Linked DNA regions of Lonchura striata. The protein of the gene in region 1 interacts with the protein of each later gene in a biochemical or structural test. Links are inferred from orthologs where the notes say so. Each region holds a gene or a part of one and is shown on either strand. Other genes may lie near its edges.

Region 1 (12,870 bases):
AGGGGGATGAGATCAGTCTGTTCCCAGTCTTGTGTAGGTCTGATGCAGAAAGTCCTTGTGAAGGTGTCAAGCCCAAGTGAGCCCTGGAGCTTCCCACATCCTTTCCATATGCTGCTCCTTCCCTCCTCACCCACAACATCCTCTCCTGGCTTATGACACTAGGTTTTCCAAGGACAGCAGAATTTGTCTGAAACCACCAAGGGGTTTTGCCCTTTGGAAGCAAAGACTGGCTCCCAGCCAGGATCAATGTCCAGGAGTTTGAAAGGCAGGTACAGTTGCTCCTCCTGGATCCAAGGGTTGGTGTAAACCCTAAGTGGGTGGGGTGCCAGTGGAAAATGCTAAAAGGAAATATTAGGGAGCAGAGCAAACAGTGAGAGCTGGAGCAGGGGAGGACAAGCAGCATGGCAGGGCTCCACGTCCGCTCACTTCTGGTGACTGGGGCCAACCGGGGACTCGGCCTGGGGCTCGTCCAGCATTTCCTGAGGATGCCAAACCCACCTCAGTGGATCTTTGCGACCTGTCGGGACCCCAATGGACAGAGAGCACAGGTGAGGTCAGACTGGGAGGCAGTGACTGTGCTGGGGGATGGGAGCACTCGGTGTCAGGGGGAGATTGGAATAGGGATGGTGTTTGCAAGGGCAGGAGCTTCAGCTGGGCACCTGGGGCACAGGGCACCTGGGCTGAGACAACGTGGGAGCAGTTGTGCATGGGACGTGTGGAGGGGACAGTGGTACTTGGTCATGGAGTCCTCCCAATCCGTCGGGTTCAGGGCAGCTGGAGCAAAGCATGGGGTCCATGGTAGTGCAGGGATAGAGCCAGATCAATGTGGGCTTTGCCTGGGGAAGGCTGAGCCTCTGCACAGCCCCTCCAGCCTCTCCATGCCTACACAGTGCCCTCTCTTTCAGGAGCTACAGAATTTGGCTTCCAAGCACCCCAACATCATCATCATCCCGCTCGGTAGGTGCCCCGAGGTGAGGATCCTTTGCCCCAGTTCCTCTGGCAAGTGCCCAGGCTGGGCACACCCCGGGAGCCCCGTGCTGGGCGGGAGCTGTGCCAACGGGCCGGTGCCGGCGGCGCCATCGGGCACTGCCACCTCCGGAGGAACAGAGGGGACTCCACCATGGGAACGCAGGCTCTGACCTCCCCTGTGTTGGCTCTGCAGAGGTCAGCGACCCCACCAGCATCAAGGCAGCTGCAGCCAAGGTTGGGGAGCACTTGGGGGGCTCTGGGCTGAACCTCCTCATCAACAATGCTGGAATTGCAAAGCCAAACTCCCTTGATAATGAGACACCAGAGGATATGATCCAGGTTTACACCACCAACACGGTTGGACCCCTGCTGATGGGCCAGGTGAGTCCCCAGCACTCCAGCACAGCTCCAGAATAATCCCTTCCCATGTCATCAAACTGGACATTACAGAGGGATGGAAGGACCAGTAGAGGGGCTCCTGTCAGTGCTCTGGTGCCCCGATGTGCTCTCAGTCGATGAGAAGCTCAGGGAGCCATGGGCTGGAGCTCAGGAACTGGAGCCAGCCAGGCTGGGGCACTGGGAAAGAGGAGGGAGGATGCCTCAGTGCTGGTGTCAGTGCTGCCCAGTGTGGAAGGAGCTTCTCCCCTGCCCTGTGCCATGTCCATGTGTGCTTCTGTCCCCTCTGTCTCCTCGCAGGCGTTTCTGCCCTTGCTGAAGAAGGCTGCCCAGGGGAGCCCAGGCTCAGAGCTGAGCTGCAGCAAGGCTGCCATCATCAACATGTCCAGCTATGCAGGCTCCATTGAGGACATGTATGTGTGGGATTTTGGACAAATTGTCTCGTACCGCTGCAGCAAGGTACTGCCAGATTTTACTGGGGGTGAGCCCAGACATTTTTCCTTGCAAATGATCACGCTGCCTTCCAGCCTCCCACTCAGGCTGTGCCCCTCTCTATGCTGTGGCTGATCTCCTGTCAGTCCCTGAGTGCCCATCACAGTTCAGTTTTGTGCCTGGCCCTGGGTCCTACCTCAGAGGGACACGATACAATGGGACTTCATCTAGGCTGGGCATCCACACAGGGATGGTGAGGGGGCATCGTGTACCCCAGGACGTGGCCCCCTCTGCCCAATTCCTGCCCCAGCTGTGGGGTCTGCACATGTTCCCTGGCAGCCCCCTTTCCCCTTCCACTGCTGTCTCCTCCCTGTCTCCCTACAGGCTGCTCTGAACATGCTGAGCAGGTGCCAGTCTCTGGCGTACAAGGAGCACGGCATCCTCTGCGTGGCTCTCCACCCCGGCTGGGTGCAAACTGACATGGGGGCCGGAGGCTCATATAAGGTGAGACATCTCCTGTCCATGGTCTGGGAGAACCTCATCCTTTAGGAATGGAGAATTTGCTGGGGTCTCATGCTGGGCTGTGTGAGAGCTCCTGGGCAGATACCCTGGAGGCACAGGAGGGAGGGAGATGACTGACTGGGAATGCTTCTTGCCCAGAGCAATGATGTGTTTCAGGGTAGGCCCCTGAGCACAGAATTGTTTCTCTCTCTGCCCCACAGCCTCCCCTGACAGTGGAAGACAGCGTGCAAGGGATGCTGAAGGTGCTGTCCTCCATCTCTGAGAAGGAGACTGGGGCTTTTCTGGACTGGGAAGGGAAGGTCATGCCCTGGTGAGGCGCTGATCCAGGATTCTGACTGTGAGGACTTTTGCTGCTGCACCATGTTCTACCTGTCCCTTAGTAAATGACTGTCCACAAACAATAAGTAGCACTGTGTGAGCCTCCTTCCCTTGATCTTCTACTGACTATCACTGAGAGAGTCCTCACTGGTGCTTTGAGAGTTCTCAGTTATTTCTGCATATCATTGAGCTAGGTTGGTCTGAACATTTGTTCTTGTTTAACTGGGGACCTGGACACCATCCTGATAGGAATTTGTCCCTGGGCTCACCCCAGAGGTGTCTCTCAGAATGGCAGCACCACCCTACAATGCCTCAGGCACTCCTCCCAGCGAATCCTTTCTCGTTTGTCAGTTCAAAGTCCAAGCAGAGCACTGCTCATCATTAGCTCCTCTACCACACAGGTAAGGAAGCAAAACCTGACATGATCTTTCTGGCTTGCTTATGCCCTGCTGTGTTCCTCCAGCACAGATCAAGATAGCCAAAAACACCCATGAAGACAAGGTCCTCAAATGGGAAATCTGTAAGTGTATGCTTGAGCCCTCTCAGGGATGGGAACCTATTCTGTGTTCCTGTTAAATCCTGTCTGTACCTCTCTTCTTGGCAGCTCTGCTCCCTGTTCCAAGCTGGTCTGTGGAGGCAGGACAGGCTCTTGGTGTTGTATAAATTCCATGGGGCACACGTGGCACTGGAGGCTCTGTGATGAGCAGAGGTGCCCACAGGTCCTCTGGGACTCACCATGGGGCTGATGGGGTCCAAGGGGACACCAGGGATCCCCCACTGTATGTCCTGTGGTGCATGGAGGGATGGGGAGGAGGCAGCAGTGGGATGGTCCCCAGGGGACTCTGGGCTGCCTTGGATGTGGAGCAGGGAGCTCTCACCCCCACTGAGCCCAACCTGCACCAGGGCCAGGAGCAGCAAATGCACCTCTGGAGTTACCAAAGTGCAGTTCTGAAGGCATGAAGCTGGGGAGGAAACACGAAGGATCATCATCAGGCAGGGGAGTGGCAGTGGAACCCTGGGGATGCTGGATAACAGGCCAGGGACATTCTGGATTACACAGACCTCCCTTCTGTTATCCTTCCCACAGCACCACTCAGCTCCCCATGGAGATCTTTGTGCCATTTGTTGCATTTTTAGCTGAATTCCCTCAAATTTGTTGTATCGCACAGGACGCTAAAATTAATTAATTAATTCCTCACCTCTTGTACCACTTAGATTTAGCTGAAATTATTCTAACCCCGACTTTGCTGTACTGTAGGATGATGGCCCCACTGCACGAGGCTGTCCTTTGCAGCAGTCTCATTTCCTGGGTGCCATGCCAGCACTGCCAGTGATTTGCACAATTTAGGGCCCCACTCCAGATTGCCAAGGCTCTGAGCAGCAGCACCCGAGTCCATCTGTAGCCTCCTTAATTAAACTGATTTGTCGGCCAGGCTGTGCTGGGTGTCCCTGCCGTGGGAGGGGACAGCGTGGGGACTTTGCTGGCAGCAGGAGCTGCTCTGCTGTGATCATACAGGGCTCAGTACTCTGCGCTGTGGCCGCAGCAACCTCGGTTTGAATCCGAGTCACAGCAGCTTTTGTCCAGAGCCGGTGGTCCGAGAGGGACCAGACTCACACCGACAATGATTTCCTGACCTGCAGTCACTGTGCAGGGTCTTCCCAGTGAGGCTGCAATGACATTTCTGGGAAAGCGCTCCAGCTTCTCCATTTTCTAGGCAAACTTGAGAATTTAGAGGAATTTGCTCAGCCTTGCACGTTCTGCTTCATCACAGTTTTGCAGAAAGAGGACCAGAAGTAGCTGTGGGGGCCCTGCAGAGTGAGAGGAGGGGGAGGCAGCAGCTTGCTCAGCTCCCGGCTCCCAGGTATGAAGGGTCTGCCACAGCAGAAGAAGGAAGATTACCAGATGAAAGTCCTACTGCTAGCACTCCCTGCTCCAGGAGAGCAGGATTTTGGTTGCAGGACCTCCAGGGATGGAGCAGAAGCAAAACCCACCCAGAAGTGAGGGATGACCCTGACAAAATGTAGGTCTGGGAACCCGAGGTCTCACGGGCACCAAGAAGCAGATGGAGATCTCTGGGTGCACCAAGAGATGCTTCAGCCTGGGGAAGCCTCTTAAACTGCTGCCTTTACCCTTCTGGAGCCTTAATGGAGTTCCCCCGTTTGCTTGGACTTGGTGCCCTCTCCTGACAGCCGCCAGAACTCACTCTGGTGGCAGCTTTCCAAGGAGGATTTACACGAGGTGCGGCGCAGGCTGCTGGCGGCGGAGGCACCGCCCAAGCAGAGGGTCTCAGCCCACCGCCCCGGGGCTCCTGCGAGCAGCAGGACGCTGCAGAACTCAGGCAGATGGGTTCATGCGTCTGCAGGGCTGCTGCTTGGGAAAAGGAGAGGGTGGGTTTCTTTTTTTCCTAGCACAAAATAGATTTATTTTCTTTCGTATCTTATCGAGAGTAAGAAATTTAAGGAAAAAAAAAAATCATTACACATTTACTTTTAGGATTTGCAGTTTATAGGTCACTTACTTGTGTGACTTCACACTCCTCCAACATCCATTTACTGAAAATATATATCTCTTTACTTAGGGAAAGCTCAAAAAGCATGTCCCTTCTAAAGATAAAATAGGAGGAAGAGAAGGCAAACATCTGGAGAAGTCGCTCATTAGCAGCAGCAGTGCCTGCCCCACTTTTACCCAAGGAAATACATAACTTCTCATTCCTCTTTTATTTTTTTTTTTCCACAGAAAGTCAGTGTGATGTGTAAGGCCACTAAACTTACCTGAAAAATAATTTACTGTGCTTGAACAACTGATGTATGCTCAAGTTGAAAAACATTTTAAAAATTTGCTAAGGACAGGGAGTATTTTTCATCCAAAATTGCTTGAATTTCTGTTAAAAGAGTTTCTATTTTGCAAAAATTTCCTGAAGTGTCTATACACCTACAGCACTGTCCAGGGTTTGACTGAGACAGTGTGGTTGCCCCACAGGTCACTGCAGCCTCTTCTCTCACAGGAGCTGTATTCCCTTAAAGTGGCGCAGGGCTCTGCTGGGAAATTTCTGCTCATCATGCTCCCAGTGAAAAAAGGGTGTCCTGATGTTCAGCTGGAGCCTCCTGTGCTCCAGTGTGTGCCCATGGCCCCGGCCCTGAGCACCATGAACAGAGCCTGGCTTCCCTCCCACGAGAGATGCTCCAGTGCCTTCAGTATCTTCATGGAGATTGTCAAGCAGAAAAAAAAACAGCTGCCAGCAGGAACCCAAACGTTAACAACACTGCCTGACGTCGCTTGGGGAAGGAACCCGAGCACTGAGGGAGGGAGCAGCGGAAAGCAAAATTCCCTGCACCAGTTGCCCCGGGAAGGACCGACCTGGGCAGGACGCGATGCCGCCCCTGCCCATGGGCTCCTAAAGGATAAAGCCACCGCCTGAACAGGGGCTTGAACCCTGGACCCTCAGATTAAAAGTCTGATGCTCTCCCAGCTGAGCTATCCAGGCTCACATTTGGGCAGGGGGTGCAGGTCTGTCATAGGTGGGGCACCCCGCTCTCCTCAGCTTGCAGGGACAATGCGGGCACCCTCTCTGCTATTCCCCGCTCCCCCAACGAGGCTCCCAGCGCAGGCCAGACTGAACCCGGGCTCTGGGAATGTCCCTGGGCGCTGAGCGGGCACAGGGATGCGCCCTGGGAAGATGCCGCTGCCGCAGGGATGCGGGGCAGGGAGAGGAGCAGGAGCTGCGGGAGCGGCTGTGAAACCTCCCCGCTCCCCGAGGGAGGCAGGAGGGCCCCGCGGGGACGGGAGAGCGGCGGCTGCGGCCGGTCGGGCTCCGAGCTCTGCTCTGGGGCTGCGGCAGCCTCGGCTCCATCGAGCCCCAGCGGCGCTTTGCAGGAGCCGCGTTAGAGCGGAGCGAGGGAGGCTGCGGGAGCCGGGCCACCGGGACACGGAGCCGTGGGGCACCTACAGCTGCCACCCACATACTCCACTGCCCTTCCTCCCCATTCCTCAGGAAGGGCCCTTTTGCTCTATAGGGAGCCCACCCTGTCAGCCAGCCCACCCACCAGTGCCCTATAGCATCCCTGTCCCACGTCACACTTCCTGGGAGAAGAAGACAATCTTCCCTTCAGCAGGACAATATGATTTTGCCCCATCCTTTCAAGTGTTCAAGGCCACACTGGATAGGGCTTGGAGCATCCTGGTCTAGTGGGAGGTGTTCAAATCCCATGGCAGGGGTTTGAAATGAGATGATCTTTAAGGTCCCTTCCAGCCAGAGCATGAACCCAGTGCAGGCTGGAGCTGCAGGGACTTCCCCCAGCTGGGACTGTCACTGGGGCCTTCCAGTGGATACTGGGAGGATGCTGCACGGGGTAGGGGCAGTGCCCAGGATGGCACTGGGGAACGTGGCACTGCCATGTGTCACAAAGAGCTGCCCAGATGTGTTCTTTTCCTATCCCAACCCCTCCATCTTCTCCCAGATACCTGGGGCCACCTGGCCATGCTGGCAGCACCATCATCCTCGGCCAGGGGCAGGAGGAGTGGAGAGAGGCTGTGTTCACCAAGGCAGGGAGTGAGCATTACCCCTAGAGAACCATAGAGGGGCAAGAACGTGGCAGCCACCTCCCCAGAACATGGCAAAGGGACACTGAGGCACTGGGAAGCTGCTCAAGCTGAGTGCAGCACCCCTGAGCAGGGTTCTCGGGGCCCTAAGAACCCCCTGGCGCTGCTGCACTGGTTTTGACAGGCCATGGTTTGTCCATAAGGCCAGTCCTTCGTCCCTCCCCGTCCCTCCTCCTCCTCGTGGCCAGCCCCTTGCAGCTCTCCCCTCCCCTGCAGCCCGGGTGCCTCTTGGCCGGACCTGTGTAGAAATTATAAAAGGCTGCTTGGCTCGGAGCCGTGCGGAGGAGCCCGGCCGAGCCTGCCATGGGGAGCAGCGGCGCCGGGGCTGCGCTGCTGACGCTGTCGCTGCTCCTGCAGCCCACGTCCCAGTTCTGGCTCTTCAATGTCCTCTTCCCACCCACCACCACGCCAGAAGCTCCCCCGACGAACAGCACGCCGCCCGTGGTGCTGGGTAAGGTCGCGCAGCGCGGGCACCGTGCGGGCCGTGGGTGGCAGCTCTGGCTGCCATGCAGCCCCCAGGACACACAGGGAGCCGGGGCTCCCGTGCCACTGGTGGCTCAGTGGGGTCTGGCTGAGATGGGTTTTACCTGTCTGGGTTGGAGCCACCAAGTGAGGGTGTCACACAGCTCCTCATCCCACACCATCCACTGGGATAGGGACACAGGGCTGGCCATGCCCAGGTAGAGCTTTTTGGAGCTGAGGGGATAGACTGGGCGCCCCAGAAAGCAAATGGGTCTCTGGTATCTCACAGCTGGCCCATGGAATGTTTTAGGGCTTGTTTGTGTCTGGGGAACTCAGAGGGACAGGGGCTGCAGCACAACCTCTTCTGCCGCTTCCCAAACAAGCTGCCATTGGTGCTGGGGATGGACCCACCATCTCTCACTTTCCTGAAGCCCACCCCGTCCTGTGTCTTTTTCCACTCCTGGGAGACAGCAGTCGTCCTCTGCTGCTGCAGAAAAGGAGCCATCTCACATCCCATCCAATACGAACTCTGACCTGGGGCAAGCCAGCAGGAGAGGGGCACAGGGAGATTAATGGAGATGTGGGGGCATCATCTCAAGAAGGAAGCAGCCACCATCAGCAGGTGCCTCCGTGCTGCATGGTTCTGCCTTCCTTTGCCCCTGTGCCATCACCAGGCACTTGAGCTCAGGTTTTGCCAAGAAAACTGCTGAGCAGTTGGGGTTTTCCTCCCTTTTCTTGAATCATGATGAGTTTCCCCTTAAAAAAAGAGAAGAGAAAAAGCAGAAGATCCCTCCCTGCTGCAATGCCAAGGGCTGACCCTGTAAACTCCCTTCCCAGAGGCATCAGGGGGCACGGGCCTCCATGTCCTGGGGTGGTCAGAAGACCCGGCTCACTGTCACCACGTGCCTCTATTCAGGATTACCTGTGACAGTCTGGGCATCTCCTTTTGTCCCTGGTGCCAGCCTCAGGCCGTGTCCCACGCCCGGGTGCCCCTTGTGCCACTTGGCTGTGCTTCATTCCACTCAGCATCCACAGTCAACCCATCCCCCTGGGCCGGGCGTCCCGGAAACCCCCAGTGCCCTTGGGACCACTGATAACCCCTCTGCCCTCACAGAACTCCCTTAATAATTACCTAATGTCCTCTGGGAGGGGAGGCAGAGCTCAGAGTTGTGTGCCAGGGGCTGGGGGGTGCTGGCTGTGCACCTTCAGGAGCCTCCAGAGCAGCTCTTGATCCTGTTCCTCTTGCTGACCATCCCTTTGCCTACTCCCTATCAGGGCTCCCCTACATCTGTCTGATCCCCACCCAGGTGCTTTGAAGACAGGATTAGACCCTCCCTGCACCCCTAGGGATGTGCCACAGCATGAAGGAGCTGTGAGGCAGGTTGAGGAAGGTAACTGCTACATCTTCCCCTCTTGCATGGCACAGGGCATTGAAGGTCCACACCAGCCCCAGCCATGTATTGCAGGCAAGTCCTTGGACCTGCTGGGGCCTTGGGATTTGTCACCTGGTGCTCCCATTCCACCAGGTTCAGTGTCCTCTGCAGTCATTCACCTCTTGTCCTCACCGTCACAGTCAGTGCTGGCACCAGCAGCTGGCTCTTGGCTCGGGCACTCGGCTGGGGAAGCTCTCCTTAGTGTCTGAGCCCAGCACAGGCACATCCCTCAGGGCAGCAGCAGGACGGGTGTCCCATCCCTGCTGGGGCCACACTGATGCTCCCACAGGCAGATCAAACGCCCTGGTGTCTGTCACCTTCCACTGAGGCTGGCCAGGGCACAAAAATGAACTTGCTTAAAGCTGTGCTGTGTTTCCTGCACACACCATTTCCAGTGAATTTCTGCTGAGTTGAGTTCCACTCAGCACTGAACCACTTCAGAGACCTTGTTCAGGCTGTATGGAGGGTTTAAAGTTCAGGAAACTCTCCCTGGGAGCTCTGAATCCCTGAACTGACCACTACCCCCAGACAAGCTGTCAGGACTGCATTAGGAATGGGCAGCCCCAAGCAGCACCAATTTCTTCCCCCAGGTTGCAGCAAGGAGAGGAAGGTGAGAACCCATCCAGGGAGGGGGAGCAGTCTAGGATGCTTTGTGCTGCTGGGGACTCACATGTTTGAGCCAAAGGTGACAGCTCTGGGGGTCATCCCATGGAAATGCAGCTCTAGGGGTTCCCAAGGATGCATTTTAGCACTTTTCATGCTCACCCAGCATCTCAGCTCCAAGCATCCTCTCTCCTGTGAGGAGCAGGTGGTTCTCCAGGGATGCTGCTCCAGCAGGTGCCCTGCCATCCCCAGGCAACCCCAGGGGAGCACTGCCTGGGGGGTGGGGTAAGCACCAGGTTGGGCAGCTCCACAGGGTCAGTGGGAGAGGGTTTGTAACTGGCTCTGCTCTCCCTCTGTGGTGCCTCCAGTGCCGGGGTGTCTGGGGAACCAGCTGGAAGCAAAGCTGGACAAGCCAGATGTGGTGAACTGGATGTGCTACCGAAAAACAGAGGATTATTTCACCATCTGGCTCAACCTCAACACCTTCCTGCCAGTGGGAGTTGACTGCTGGATCGATAACACCAGGTACCATCCAACTCTACCCTGGGAGCTCCCTGGGGAAACGACCTACCAAGGATCTCCCTCCCCTCTCCTCCCCCTGGCTATTATCTAGCACACAGGGAAAAAAAATGGGAGGACCATGGGATTGTTTGGGAACACAAGTGACTGGCTACTGCTCTGAGCATCTGTCCCTTTCCCAAATCCTTGCCATGTGCTCAAGCCCAGCCAGAGCACCCTGAGCACTCACTGGAGATGCTGCCACCCTGCCTGGGGCTGTAGGGTGAGGGGGCTGTGGCAGCTGGTTCCATCAGAGCGTCCTGTCCCAGGATGTCAGGAGAGCAGAAGGGACTCTGGCTGGGCTCCAGTGCACCTCACATCCACACAAGGCTTGGGAACAGCCAGGTCCAAGCCACTGCCAGTGATCTCCATCCCAGCCCTGTGTTCTCCATGGGGACATGGCTCTTCTGCCACTTCCTGTCCTGTCCCCACAGGGTGGTGTACAACCGAACCTCTCGGAAGATGTCCAATGCCCCAGGGGTGCACATCCGTGTTCCTGGCTTTGGCAAGACCTATTCTGTGGAATACCTGGATCAGAGCAAGCTGGCAGGTGAGAGGAGGAGAGGCCAGGGTGTCTGGGGATCCCATGTGCTCCCTGCAAATGGGGAGGTGTCCCCATGTCTCCAGCAGGGACGGGTTCTGCAGAGAGCTCAGGGCACTGGGGATTAAGGACATTAGCCTGGGGGACACACTCCAGCTGAGTGCTGGCAGGGAGCACCCCATCCTTGACCCAGGACTCCGTGCGATGCGCAGAGTCACGACATCTGGCTGGAGCCACTGAGCCACAGGGCTTACCAGGGAACATTTTGACCCTGACCAGGACCAGAATGGAAAAAGCTTCATGAGAGAAGACCACAGACCTAATTCCCACTTGTTCCCTCTGCCCACAGGCTACCTGCACACCATGGTGCAGAACCTGGTGAACAACGGCTACGTGAGGGACAAGACGGTCCGGGCAGCCCCCTACGACTGGAGGGTTGGACCCCGTAAGTCTGGGGGTTGTGGCCAGGCTCCCCATGCACAGAGGGAAGCAGGATGACCCTCATGCCATCATGCTCCCCTCTTGTCCGCAGAGGAGCAGCCCGAATACTTCCAGAACCTGAAGGCGCTGATCGAGGAGATGCACGATGAGTACCAGAGACCCGTCTTCCTCATTGCACACAGCATGGGCAACCTGCACATCCTCTACTTCCTGCTGCAGCAGACACAGGCCTGGAAGGATCAGTACATTGGGGGGTTCATTTCCCTGGCTGCCCCCTGGGGAGGCTCTGTCAAGCCCCTGCGTATCCTGGCATCCGGTGGGTGACTCCTCGTGTGCAGCCACCTCTTTGTTTTCTTTCCCTCCTGTAGAAATGGGAGGGTGGTAGTGGGCAGGGAAAGGGCACAGTGGTGAAAGAGGTGGGGGACCCAGTTCCTGTTTAGGCTCTTTGCAGCCCAGAAAGCCACAATCACTTGCCTAATGCTGACAGCCCAGAATATCTACAAGTCACAAGTCCAAAAACACATGAGATTAAAAATCATGTGCTTGAATGTTTTAACATCTGGCCCCTTGCATCACCCTTAAGTCACCTGCTAATATTTTTCTCTGTTGCCACAAGAGCCAGAGATATATTTAAGGTCATCTGTGGTCATTCCATGGTCTTAGGACTCCAGACATACCAAAAACTATCAAGGCTTGAAGGAAACGTGCAAGTTGGCCACTTATTACTGCTTACTCCTGTCCCTGCAGGCAGGTGAGGCAGTGCCAGGGTTGCAGGGAATGTTCAGGGCTGGGTTGGTCTGTGCCATCACACATCCGGGCTTGTCTCCACTCAGGCCCTTTGAGCAGATAGAGATGTGGAGAGAAGTGTTTGGAAGGCTGTTCTTGATACCTGCAGACAGCGGGGTAAGGAGAGGACGTAAGGTTATGGGCAGGGGAAGAGCTGAGCTGGAGCAGGCCAGGGCACAGTGGTGAGTCACTGTGGGGAGCGCTGATCCCAGCCCAGCTGCCCAAAGGCTCTGTCTGTGTGGGGACATGGCGGTGCCATTTGTGATGAGCCCTTGCGTGTCCCGCAGGTGACGAGCAGGGCATCCCTCTCATGTCCAACATCAAGCTCCGTGAAGAGCAGCGCATGACCACCACCAGCCCCTGGATGTTCCCCACCACCCTGGCCTGGCCCGAGAGCCACGTTTTCATCTCCACACCCTCCTACAACTACACCTACCGCGACTACCAGCGTTTCTTCACTGACGTCAACCTGGAGGATGGCTGGTACATGTGGGAGGACATGAAGGATTTGTTGAAGGATTTGCCCCCGCCTGGGGTGGACATGTATTGCCTCTATGGCACAGGCTTTCCCACCGCAGAGACTTACATTTATGATGAGCGTTTCCCTTATGAGGACCCCGTGAAAATAATTTATGGCGATGGGGACAACAGTGTCAACACGCGCAGCTTGGAGCTGTGCAAGCGATGGCGTGACCAGCAAAAGCAGAAGGTGTTTGTCCAGGAGCTGCGAGGTGCCCACCACTTCAACATGGTCTTCAGCAACCTGACACTCAGTTATATCAACGAAATCCTGCTGGGGAGCAAAGAGG
Region 2 (11,118 bases), on another chromosome or scaffold:
TCTCAAGCACAGACCCTCAAGCCCAGGCGCTTCTAAAGCTCCCACAAACACACACAGCATCAGTGTTGGTCAGTGTCCTGTGGCTCCAGCAGCCTTGCAGTCTCTCTGACACTTTGGGAAGCAGCAGCAACAGCAAGATTCTATCCCTGCTTGAACTGGGAAGGGTGGGTTCTGGAGAGTGAGGTTAAACTTGCCATGAGGATCTGAAGACCATTCCTGCTCCTTGGAAGCAGCTGCACCTTTGCTCCTCTGTGGCTGCTCTGGCAGCACTCGGCCGTCAGGGAATTCCTGCCTGGGCTGTAATTACAGGCTCCTCTGCAGGAAAAACACCCTCCAAGCCCCTCACTAAGAGGGCTTTGAGCAGAGGCTGAGTGGGCAGATCAGTATTCCCTGCAGGACTCGGGGTGCTGGGCTGGAGCCACCAGCCTGCCCTTGGCACTCGGGCCCTGCTGCAGAGGAGCTGTGTCCAGGGCACAGGAGCCCAGCTTTGTTCAGGGACACAGCACGGGTTTGCTGGGAAAGTACTGGGCTGGAACAGGCTGGCTCGGAGGGCTGAGCGGGGCTGCCAAGCCCTGACCCCCCAGAGCGTGGGCGGGGGGCAGGGACAAGGCTGGGCTGTGCTGAAATCCTCCTAAATTCTGAGTTCTGTTTGCTCTCAGAGCTCTGCTTCCCTGCTGTGCTTGGAGTGGGGGAATTGTCCCAGGCTCAGCAGAGATTGGAAGCTCTGGAGGGGGGTTGGTACGAAATCACGAGTCTGAATCTTGTTACTGAAGCCTGTTAGATGGACAGTGAGGTCTGCTGAAGTCAGAAGCCAAATCTCAGCCCCCACACTGCTGTTGCAAGGACTGGTTACACAAAGGAAAAGGACTTTAGACTGCAAAGCCTTGTAAATGAGTAAAAGCAAATAGATGTTTACAAATAGGCTTGTGTAAGCCCTTCTGACAGGGCTGTTTGTAGTAAACTATGTCCTGGGATGCAACTGTTTGTACCATCTTCCCTATGGCTTCCATAACCCACTTGGACTCAGGCCTGCGCCGCTTTGGGTGCAGGCAGAGTCACCTCAGAGTTTCCCAGGTGCCTTTACCTACAGCAACTCCTACACCCCTGGGCTTTCCTGGTTTTGACCTACACCAAATCCTACATCACTCAGTTTTCCCACTGCTGCCCACACCAAATCCTACATCCCTGGCTTTTCCCACTCTTTTCCCTAGACTGTGTCATGAGGGTGCAGTTTGAGGGTGACTTCCCTCCCTGCCTCAGCTCCCAGATGTTTTCCCTGGAGCAGAGCAGTTTCCCTGTGCCTCGGGAGTGTCTGTGCTCCCCCAAGGCTGATCACAGAGCTCTGGAGGCTGCAGAGCATCTGCCAGGGATGGCAGCCGGGGACTTGAGAGCCGACCAGATCTGTTTGGGATGTGGCTGGGCTGCCTGTGAGCAGCCCTGCTCCAGTTCTGCTCCAGCGTGGCCGTCCCGGGCTGGGAGCGCTGCCCGTGGGAAACCTGCCTGGGCTGGCACGGAGGGAGCCGGGCTGGCCGTGCCAGCGTCACATGCCACGGTGACACAAAGGATGTGGGCATGAAAGGCTCTCCCCTGCAGGCCTGGGGGTGTCAGTTCGGGGTGTCCATCCCTTGCTCCAGAGCAGCATCCCCAGAGGTGAAGTGCTGGCATTGGGAAGCAGCTGTTTTTCAGGCCCTGGCTCTTCCAGGCTGAGGGAACTCGTCACCCGCAGCACAGGGACTGGGACTGGGGCTGTTGGAGCAGCAGGCTGCTGGCCCCAACCACTGTTCCCACAGTTGGAGCAGCATCCCAAGCAGTGTGTGGGTGGCACTGATCCGCTAACATCTGTTACCTCATGTTTTCCTTCTCGCTTTTCCGGGAAAGCTGACTGTTAACCGCACGTAACCCCACGGTTGTGCAAAGGCAGGGGGAGGCTGCACCTCTGAGTGCCCTGGGACAGGGCTCCGGCAGGAATGCCACATTCCTGATGGAGGGAGAGCCTGGGGAGCAGCGTGCTGGCTGTGCTGTCCATGTGCTGGCTGTGAGCAGTGTGGAGACCACATGGGATGGGGTCTCACTTGCATTCTGCTAGATTGTGGACAGATTTTGGGACTGCTCTGTGCAGGGGCAAGCATGATCCTTGTGGGTGCACGTGGGGGTGTTCCAGGGTCCTGTGAGATCCCTCCAGGGAGTGGTTTTGTGGCAGTTGCAGTGCCAGCTGGGCTGTGCAGTGTCCCAGCACAGCAGGACATCACTTCCCACTGGCCAAAGCCCTGGGAAAGCTGTGGCTTTGTGAGGGATGAACCTCAGCTGTGTCACCTCGGGGCAGCTCCCCGGCGCTCGCGGCCGCGTCGGGCGTTTGTGCTCGGCAGGGTCCGAGCTCAGCGAGCTCAGCCCTGGTGACAGCTCCTCCATGGCTCAGGACTTTATCCAAAACATCGTGTACTTGATGATGAGAGGCTTTGCCTGATAGGAATGTGGCCTTTGCCCTCAGTCACAAGAGCTTGCAGTGCAGATGGACTTTGCCAGGCAGAGCACTCGTGTGCTCCCGCAGCCAGATTGTGGGAGGGCAGGGAGAAGTCATCTGATAAAAGTGAAGATCCTGGCCAGCTCTTCCAGCAGGATTCTGTTGCTTACAATTGCCAAGGGGCCCTGCTGGAGCATCCCGTGTTGGAGGCTCCCCCAGCTCTTGTGTAACGATGTGGGGGTCGAGCTCAGGCTCGAGGGGAAGGCAGAAGTGGGAAAGGGTCTGGTTCCTCTGCTCCTGCCCCAGTGCCTCCAGCTTAAGGCTGTTTTGTAGATCTGATGGAAGGCAGCTAGCATTGGGATCGTTTGGGATATTGAAGCTGGAGGGAGAAGCCTGTGTGAGTGCAGCCGGGGGTCCTGTCCCTGCTCTGCCAGCAAGGAGCATTTGTGTGTGCCATCAGGTCTCAGTTCTGCAGTGGCACAGGTGGCTGCAGGTTCCTTGTACTAACCTGTCCCTTTTCTGTCCTGTCTGGCTCTCAAGAGTCCATCGTAGGGAACTGCATGGACAGGAGCTCCCCCGGCCAAGCCATGCAGGTGCCTGACCACAACGGCCTGGGCTACCCCGTGCGCCCCTCGTCCAGCGAGCACCCGCGGCCCCGCAGCCTGCAGAGACATCACACCATCCAGAACAGCGACGATGCCTACGTAGGTGCCTCTGCCTGCCAGCTCCTGCTCTGACACAGCCTGGCCTGGCTGTGCCACCCAGGGCTCTGCAGGCACACCCAGCCTGGCTGTGGAGGAGCTGGCTGTGGTAGCCCAGACCTCAGTGCTCTGCGCCCTCGGGGGTTTGGGGTGCTGGGAAGTGTCCTGCCCAAATCTTGATGTGTGCCTTGCTACAGCTCCCTTCTGCTGTAGATGTCAGCTTCACTGGTTCAGTGGTGCCCAGTGACAGGATGAGGAGCAATGACCAGAAACTAAATCACAAGTTCCACCTCAGCATTAGGAAGGATTTCTTTCCATGGAGGGTGGCAGAGCACTGGAACAGCTGCCCAGGGTAGGGCCTGGAGTCTCCCTCTCTGGAGACATCTGAAAACCACCCAGATGTGTTTCTCTGTCACCTGCTCCCGGTGTCCCTGCTTGGCAGGGCTTTGTGCTGGATGATCTCCTGATCTCCCTCCCACCCCCAGCTATGCTGTGATTCTGTTAGTTCAGAGGGATTTGGACCATTCAGTGCCGTTCTTGTCTTTCCAGAGCCTTGCTGAAGGTTTGCAGAGGCTCTCTGGGTAGATGGGGAGCAGCGGGATCCTGAGCTCCCCCTGAGCGTGTCCTGCTGCCTCCACAGGTGCAGCTGGATAACTTGCCTGGAATGAGTTTGATGGCAGGAAAAGCCCTCAGCTCTGCTCGGATGTCGGACGCCGTGCTCAGCCAGTCGTCGCTGATGGCCAGTCAGCAGCTGCGCGACAGGGACGGCGAGGGTGAGCCCGGGGCTGCCACGGGGCAGGGCTGGGGGCAGCTCCTCTGGAGCTGAGTCACAGCCACAGGTGCTCAGGCACCTCTTCACCCTTCCAGAATGCGGGGAGAGCTTGGAAGGTCAGGAGCACGCGAACCTGGGCGATGGCAGCCAGCACCTCAACACCTCCTGCTACCCCTCCACGTGTATCACGGACGTCCTGCTGAGCTACAAGCACCCGGAGGTGCCCTTTGGGATGGAGCAGGCAGGGGTGTAACCAGGAGGGAGTGAGTATCCCTGTGTCCTTCTCTCGCCACACCACACCACACCTGGGGCCTCACTCCCATGGGTCACCTTCCCTGCTCTTGGCTCCGGTGCTGGGGCTGGGACCATCCGCTCAGAGATCCTGTGCTGAAGCTGTTTGCTGTCCCTCCTTCCAGGCTGGTGTTGCACTCAGACCCCTCTGCATGGCAGGGTCTCTCTCCTGGGGCAGGGTCAGGAATGGCCTGGGAATGCTAGAGGGCTGTGGAAGGAAATGTGCCATTGTGGAGTCCCCTAACACCTGTCTTTTCTCTCTCTCGCAGGGTTTGTGTACAGCTTTGAAATGAAAAGGTCCATTTTAAACCAACAGTATCTAGCAGCATTGCGCCAAATTGCCGTAGTATTTCTGACTAACTGGAATACCATGGCCCCTTTCCTCATCCTCACTTCATCCAGTGTGTCGTTCCTTTGGGTTCTTTATTTCTGCCACACTTGCCTGTAACTCCAGCTACACCCAGAGCCCCGAGCCCCACACGGAGGATCGGCCTGGGCTGGGGCTGCTCTGGGGGCTGGCCCTGCCCGGGGCCCCACGCCGGGCTGAGCGTCCCTGGAGCCTGCCCTGAGCAGGTCTGGGGGGCTGGAGCTGCTCCTGGACGGAGGCCACGCTCTCCTTCCACCCTGTCCCTGTGCCCGGGGGGCTCCGGGCCTGCCAGTGCCTCCCCACCCTGGTGCAATCCACTTCTTGTCTCACCTCTGTCTGCTCTGTTCCCTCTCGTGTGTCGGGGTGCTGACAGCATCACCCCTGCCCTGCCCTTCCTCCCCTTTTCTTTCCAAATCTGCCACGTCTTGGGGTTTTTTCTTTTCCTGGCTAATATAGGGCAGACGGATTTTTCTTTGTTTCCTTCGCTTTTCCTCCTGATCACGTAGGAATTGTTTTTATTTTTATTTTTTTTTGGTAAATGTTGTTTTATTATTATTGTTATTAATAAAAGGCAAAAGGAATTTCTGTTTGAGAGAAATTTTTAACTAGATTCTGTTCTATATGAATTGTGACTTGCACCTTTTGTTCAAAGTATTTTATTTCTTTTAATGACATTGTACTTGTGACTGGTTTTCTCTCGTGCCAGTGGCGACAGTGGTAATTCTCCTTATACAGTCGGGACATGCAGAGGTCTCTTCTTTGTCCCTTTTCCATCCTTTCCGTGGTGGATGGAGCGGGAGGCCCCCCCGGCTGGGGCTCAGGAGCACGCGGTGTCACCCTTGCCTTTGGGACTCGACGAGCTCCAGCTCACATCCTCCTTCTCAGCGACATTTTTTCCGGAATATTTTTTAAAACTAAAGGAAACACCGACCCAGCCCTCCTGACTTTGCACAGAAGGAAGTGTGAAACCAGCACGGCAGAGGTGACTTTGCTGTCCTTACCCCGTGCCTCTTCCCGGCCTCCCCTTCTCCGGGAGAAGGACGCTGAGGGCTCTGCGATCCCGGGATCGGAGAGGAGGGACTCGGCAGCCTCCGGGATGGAGCGGGGAGGCTGGGAAGCGCTGAAAGCCTTTTGCTCTGTCCCTTGGGTTCATTTTCCTTTTGTTTACATGACACTGTATCCTGGGAGAGTCGCCGGGCCCCCCCCAGCAGCAGCTGCCCCGCGGGGCCGCGTCACCGTGCCATCCGCAGTATCACACTTTTTTTATCATGGCTTTGTATTGTAGTAATCAATACGCGCAGTATATGTTGAATGTATATTAATATACTTTGCTATTATTTCTGTTTTTTGGAAATGTCAGAAGTATTTTTTTTTTTTTCTTCCTCATTTATGTTGGACTAAAAACGAACAGGAAAAAAAAATTTTCAGTAAATCTTCAGTCCATTTTTTGTGGGTCACTTGCAACTAGTCAATTAGTTGGACAGTGGGATCATAACAAATAAAACCATGATTATGATCTTCCCTGGGCTCTTGTTTGCCTTGTTGCTCAACACCAAAGGTCAAGGGGCGGCCGCTGCTGTGTCCCATCCATCCCTTTCCCGGGCTCCGGCAGCCCCTGGCTGGGTTTCCCGAAGCCCCCCGGCCCTGGCAGCCCCTGCAGCTGCAGCCCGGCAGTGCTGCAGATCAGAGCCCGCCCGGGCACTGCTGCACTGGGGCTTTTCCAGCCTTGGGCAGGGTCTGGGAGGCGCAGGGAGCTGTGCCTGTGCCCGCAGCACCTGCAGCACCTGCGGTGGCAGCTCCCCTGCGATGCCCAGCGGGCTGGCACGAGCTGCAGGGACGGTGCCACCCAGAACCAGGAGCATCACTGCTCTGTGGCAGCTCCCCCTGGCATTGCCAGCCCTGCACACCCCCTGCAGCCCCTCTGGGGACGCGGCCTCTCTCTCCCTGTCCCCTCTCTCCCCTTGCCAGGCTGGGCTCAGCCCTGTGCACCCCTGGACTGGTGACAATTGCACCCGGGGTTGGCTCGGGGTTTTGGGGCGGCCGTGCCAGTGCTGGTGCTGCTCTGAGCTGAGCCTTGCCTTGCCCAGGTCCCCGGCGAGGGCTGGCGTGGGCGCAGCTCCCCGGGCCTCTGAGCTGGGGGCACAGCGGGCAGAGGGGGTGGCGTGAGCGGCCCCGTGAAGGACGGGGCACAGACCCGCGGCCCGAGCGAGGGGTCCGGGTACGGCAGGCCAAATCCCTGCGGGAATAAACCTTGTCCCCGGGCCGGCGGCCAATCCCTGGGGGCTGCGAGGGGCCCCGGCAAGGCCAGCGGGAATCTGGGTCACCGGGAGCGTAAACAGCTCCTTGGCCGGCGAGGCGCGTCCCGCGGGGAGCTCCTGTTTGCTCGCCACCCCTGCCAAGCCCGGCTCCGCGGCGATGCTGCGCGATCCTTGAACCCTGCGGCCACACCGCCCGCCGGGAGCGCGGCCCGGCCGCCGCTGGCTTATCTCCGCGGAACTGCCCCTCCGGCATAAATAGCGGCGGCGGAGCCCGGCCGCTCAGACGGGACGAGCAGCAGCGGTGGAGAGAGCCGGTAAGAGCCCGGGCTGCTCGGCGGGAGCGCCGGAGCCGGGCCGGGCTCAGCCCCGCCGGGGCTGGCTCTGCCGGGGCTCCCCGCGCCCAACTCTCTCGCTCTGCCCGCAGGTCCAGCCAAGATGAGAGCCGCGGTGTTGACCCTCGCCCTGCTCTGCCTGGCGGGTAGGTCCGGCCGGGAGGGATGCAGCAGCGCGGGCGGGATGGGGACGCGGGCGCTGCTGGAAGCCGCCGCTTTCCGAGGCGCTTCGCGAGCCGCGCTGCAGCCGAGGGGCTCCCGGGCCCCTCCCGGCGGGGCTGGAGCCGTCCCCGGGCGGCGTGTCCTGAGCAAACCCGGCGCTCCCCGCAGGCACCCAGGCCCGCTCCTTCTGGCAGCACGATGATCCCCAGGCACCCCTGGATCGCCTCAAGGACATGGTCGATGTGTACCTGGAGACAGTGAAGGCCAGCGGCAAGGAAGCCATTGCCCAGTTCGAGGCCTCCACCGTGGGCAAACAGCTGGAGTAAGTGGGAGGTGTGCGGCGGGGGGCTGGCGGGGGGCCCCGGGCACCGAGCGTGACCTCCCTCCCTCCCTCCCGTCCCGCAGCCTGAAGCTGGGCGAGAACCTCGACACGCTGGGCGCAGCCGCCGCCAAGCTGAAAGAGGACATGGCCCCCTACTACAAAGAGGTGCGGGAGATGTGGCTGAAAGACACCGAGTCCCTGCGCGCCGAGCTGACCAAGGACATGGAGGAGGTGAAGGAGAAGATCAAGCCCTTCCTGGACCAGTTCGCTGCCAAGTGGACGGAGGATCTGGAGCAGTACCGCCAGCGCCTGGCACCCCTCGCCCAGGAGCTGAAGGAGCTCAGCAAGCAGAAGGTGGAGCTGCTGCAGCAGAAGCTGACCCCGGTGGCCGAGGAGGCGCGGGACCGTCTGCGCGGGCACGTCGAGGAGCTGCGCAAGAACGTGGCGCCCTTCAGCGATGAGCTGCGGCAGAAACTGAGCCAGAAGCTGGAGGAGATCCGCGAGAAGGGCATCCCCCAGGCCGCTGAATACCAGGCCAAGCTGGTGGAGCAGCTCAGCAACCTGCGCGAGAAGATAACGCCCCTGGTGCAGGACTTCAAGGAGCGCCTCACCCCCTACACCGACACCCTCAAGGCCCGTTTCCTCAGCATGCTGGAGGAGCTCCAGAAGACCGTGGCCTGAGCTGCCGGCCGGCGCGGCCAGGGACTGACCCCAGCCCCGCTCCGCGGCCGCCCCGGGCGCTCCCTGCCCTGCCCCGGGCACCTCTCCTCAGGGGGCTCTGGGGACGGGCTGCAGGAGCCCCGGGCCGGCCCGGCCCTGGGGTGCCCTCCCCGGAGACCCCCTCTTCCCCTAGAATTGCCTCCCCACCCCGGCGTCGCTCTCAGCTTTGCCTCCCTTTTGAGAAATAAACTTGACTTAAGTTATTGGAGCTCGCTCAGTCTTTGCAGTGGATGCTGGAGGGGGCAAGGGGTGCTCTGAGCTGGGGGTACTGGGGACCAGAGGGAGTGGGGACCCAAGGGAGCTGGTGAGGGGTGCCCTGGGCTCGCCGAGTCCAGCTCTGCCCGAGGTGCAGCCGTGCTCAGCCCCACACAGGGCGCTGGGGTATGGTGGCACTGAATTTGCAGGAGTTTTTGGAAACAAGCACTCGGCTGCTGTCACCCCGAGCACCCCAACACGGCCGTGTGTACCCCAGTGCTCGCGTCCGCCCCAGCCCGGTCCCCCTGCGGGTCACACTCCTCCCTGCCAGCCCCCAGAGACGGCACCGCAGCGTTTGCCTCAGCCCTGCTTTATTGAGAGCACCACGACAGCGGGGGGGAGCCGGGGGGTCCCCGGCCCCGACAGACCCCGAGCAGCCCCCGGTGAGGCTACGCGGCCGGAGTCTTCTTCAGCAGCTCCGCCAGCTGCTCCTTCAGCCACGCCAGCCGCTGCTTCGCCAGCTCCGCGTTGTCCGACAGCCACTGCCTGCAGGGGAGGGAGGGGAGGGAGGGCAGGGGAGGGGAGGGGAGGGGGTCAGCGCGGGGCCCTGGCCGGGCTCCCCGGCGGCACCGGGGGCAGGGACGGGCACAGGGAGGGGCACAGGGACAGGGACGGGGCTGGCGGGGTTCGGGAGCACCTGGCCTGCTTTGCCGCCTCCGACTCCCGCACCCTGCTGAAGGCGTCCTTGGCCATGGCCGTGGCTTTCTGGGTCAGCTCCTGCACCTTCTGCACCAGCGCCTTCGGCTCCTCGGGCGAGTCGGCCCCTGCGAGCACGAGCCTGGTGGCACTGGGGGCACGGGGTCCCGCGGCTGTGCCCCCCGCGTGTGCCCCCAGCACCCCGAGCCCTCCTGCGCAGCCCCCGGCCCTTACTTGCTCCCACCGCCAGGACGGCCGTGCAGGCGAGCAGGAACAGCAGCGACGCCTTCATGGCTGGGGAGAGAGCGGACCGCGCGATGTGGGGCAGCAGGGGGGCACGGGGGTCCCGTGCCCGCCCCCCGCCCCGCGCTGCCCTCGCCAGGGGTGTCCCCGCTCACCTGTGCCGGGCTCACCTGTGCCTATGGCGCGGGGGCAGCCCCGGCTCCCTCTTTATACCCTCCCGACGGCCGCGCTGGGGGATTCGTGCAAAGGTCGGGGCAGGGCGGGGGGGGCTGCAGGGGCGCCGCGTCCGGCCAGGAGTTGGGAAATCCCGGGGGGACGGAGCCCGCCGGGGGGACGGAGCCCGCCGGGGGGACGGAGCCGCCGGGGCCCCGCGTGTCTCTGCGTGTGCGCACGGAGCTGCGCGGCCGCGGGCACACGCGTGTGCGCAGCCAGCGCGCTGCCCGCGGAGGGGACAGCCCGGGCACGCACGGCACAAGGGTGACATCCAGCGGCCCTGTCCCCGGGCACGCCGCCCTCGGGCACCGCGAAGCTCTTCGGACCTTGTCACTGCCGCTGCCTGCCCGGTCCCTGCCCCTGCCCGCCGTGCCCTTTGCCCGCAGTGACACATCGCCGCTGTCCCCGGGCCGGGGACACGCACGGGTCCCAGCTGCATCCCCAGCTGCACTGCCCTGCAGCGTCCTGGCCCCTTCCTGTGGCAGGCCTTCCTCCAGGAGCGATGCCATCGTGCCTGCACAGCCTCGTGTGTCCCCCTGGGCCCTTGTCCTGCCCCCGAGCCCGTGTCCTGCCCCGCTGCCCAGCCCAGCCGTGGCAGAGCTGGGAGGGCCCTGCAGCATCCCCAGCCCCGTGTCCTGTCGCGTTGCCCCCATCCCACACCCCTGCCAGCACTGACAGAGCCACTGCTGCAGCCACAGAGCACTCAGGTGTTATAGGTAAAAATGATCAAGCTGAATTGAATAATTAATAAAATAGATTTTTATTTCGCGACTGAGATGGCCACAATCAAAAGGTCAGTGCCGAGCCCGGGGATCTTCGGGGAGTTACTGGAATTTGGCATTGAGGTGAGTTTTCTTGATGGCTCTGGCTATCTCAATCCGAGATATTTATCGAACATTCATCATCTGGGTGCCCATCTCCTTGCGAGCCACATTTATTCGCTTGCAAATTAGATCCTTTTCTCCCTGCTGCCAGCTGGGTTTCGAAATGCCGTGAAGCAATCTTCGTCTTCCCGGCCTGAGTGCTTAAGAGAACTTACAGGAATGTTTCTAATATATTTCATATGTCTCTTTCTCATATGCCCGAATTATTCAAAATACACGTAACAGAGGTGTCCCCTCAGCCCGGGTCCCTGTCCCCAGGAGGGGCTCGGCGTGTCCCGGGTACCCCCACCCCGTGTGTCCCTGTCACACCCTGGGGGCTGGCGGGGCCGCGGGTGATGTCAGGCGCCTCCACGTTGTGATCGTGCTAAAGTCCAAGCCCTTGCTGTGTCACAGCCTGCGTGGAAGCTGCAGGAGCGCTCGGGCTGCATAAATAGTGCTGGGAGCTGCCGGCTCGGCAGGTACCGCGGCACTGGCAGCACAGGTGAGCGGCTGCAGGCGCTG

What was found.
Region 2: the proteins of LCAT (region 1) and APOA1 form a complex in vitro, tested with the Homo sapiens proteins (6 studies listed by BioGRID and IntAct, with this or other methods). The link is inferred for Lonchura striata from reciprocal best matches to the Homo sapiens genes LCAT and APOA1.

Annotation. Positions count from the first base shown.
Region 1 is NC_134615.1:16,805,275-16,818,144, forward strand, and holds the start of LCAT (phosphatidylcholine-sterol acyltransferase), read left to right. Parts: upstream 1-7,512; 5' UTR 7,513-7,540; coding exon 7,541-7,688; intron 7,689-10,103; coding exon 10,104-10,260; intron 10,261-10,727; coding exon 10,728-10,843; intron 10,844-11,183; coding exon 11,184-11,279; intron 11,280-11,366; coding exon 11,367-11,591; intron 11,592-12,348; coding exon 12,349-12,870. Other genes in the region: C-signal-like, read left to right, coding at 402-548, 906-957, 1,163-1,350, 1,666-1,824, 2,182-2,301, 2,520-2,633. UniProt on the Homo sapiens protein: Central enzyme in the extracellular metabolism of plasma lipoproteins.
Region 2 is NC_134625.1:10,337,464-10,348,581, forward strand, and holds APOA1 (apolipoprotein A-I), read left to right. Parts: upstream 1-7,083; 5' UTR 7,084-7,164; intron 7,165-7,274; 5' UTR 7,275-7,285; coding exon 7,286-7,328; intron 7,329-7,512; coding exon 7,513-7,666; intron 7,667-7,749; coding exon 7,750-8,347; 3' UTR 8,348-8,594; downstream 8,595-11,118. Other genes in the region: serine/threonine-protein kinase SIK3, read left to right, coding at 3,002-3,165, 3,803-3,935, 4,030-4,187; APOC3 (apolipoprotein C-III), read right to left, coding at 9,031-9,127, 9,279-9,405, 9,512-9,569. UniProt on the Homo sapiens protein: Participates in the reverse transport of cholesterol from tissues to the liver for excretion by promoting cholesterol efflux from tissues and by acting as a cofactor for the lecithin cholesterol acyltransferase (LCAT).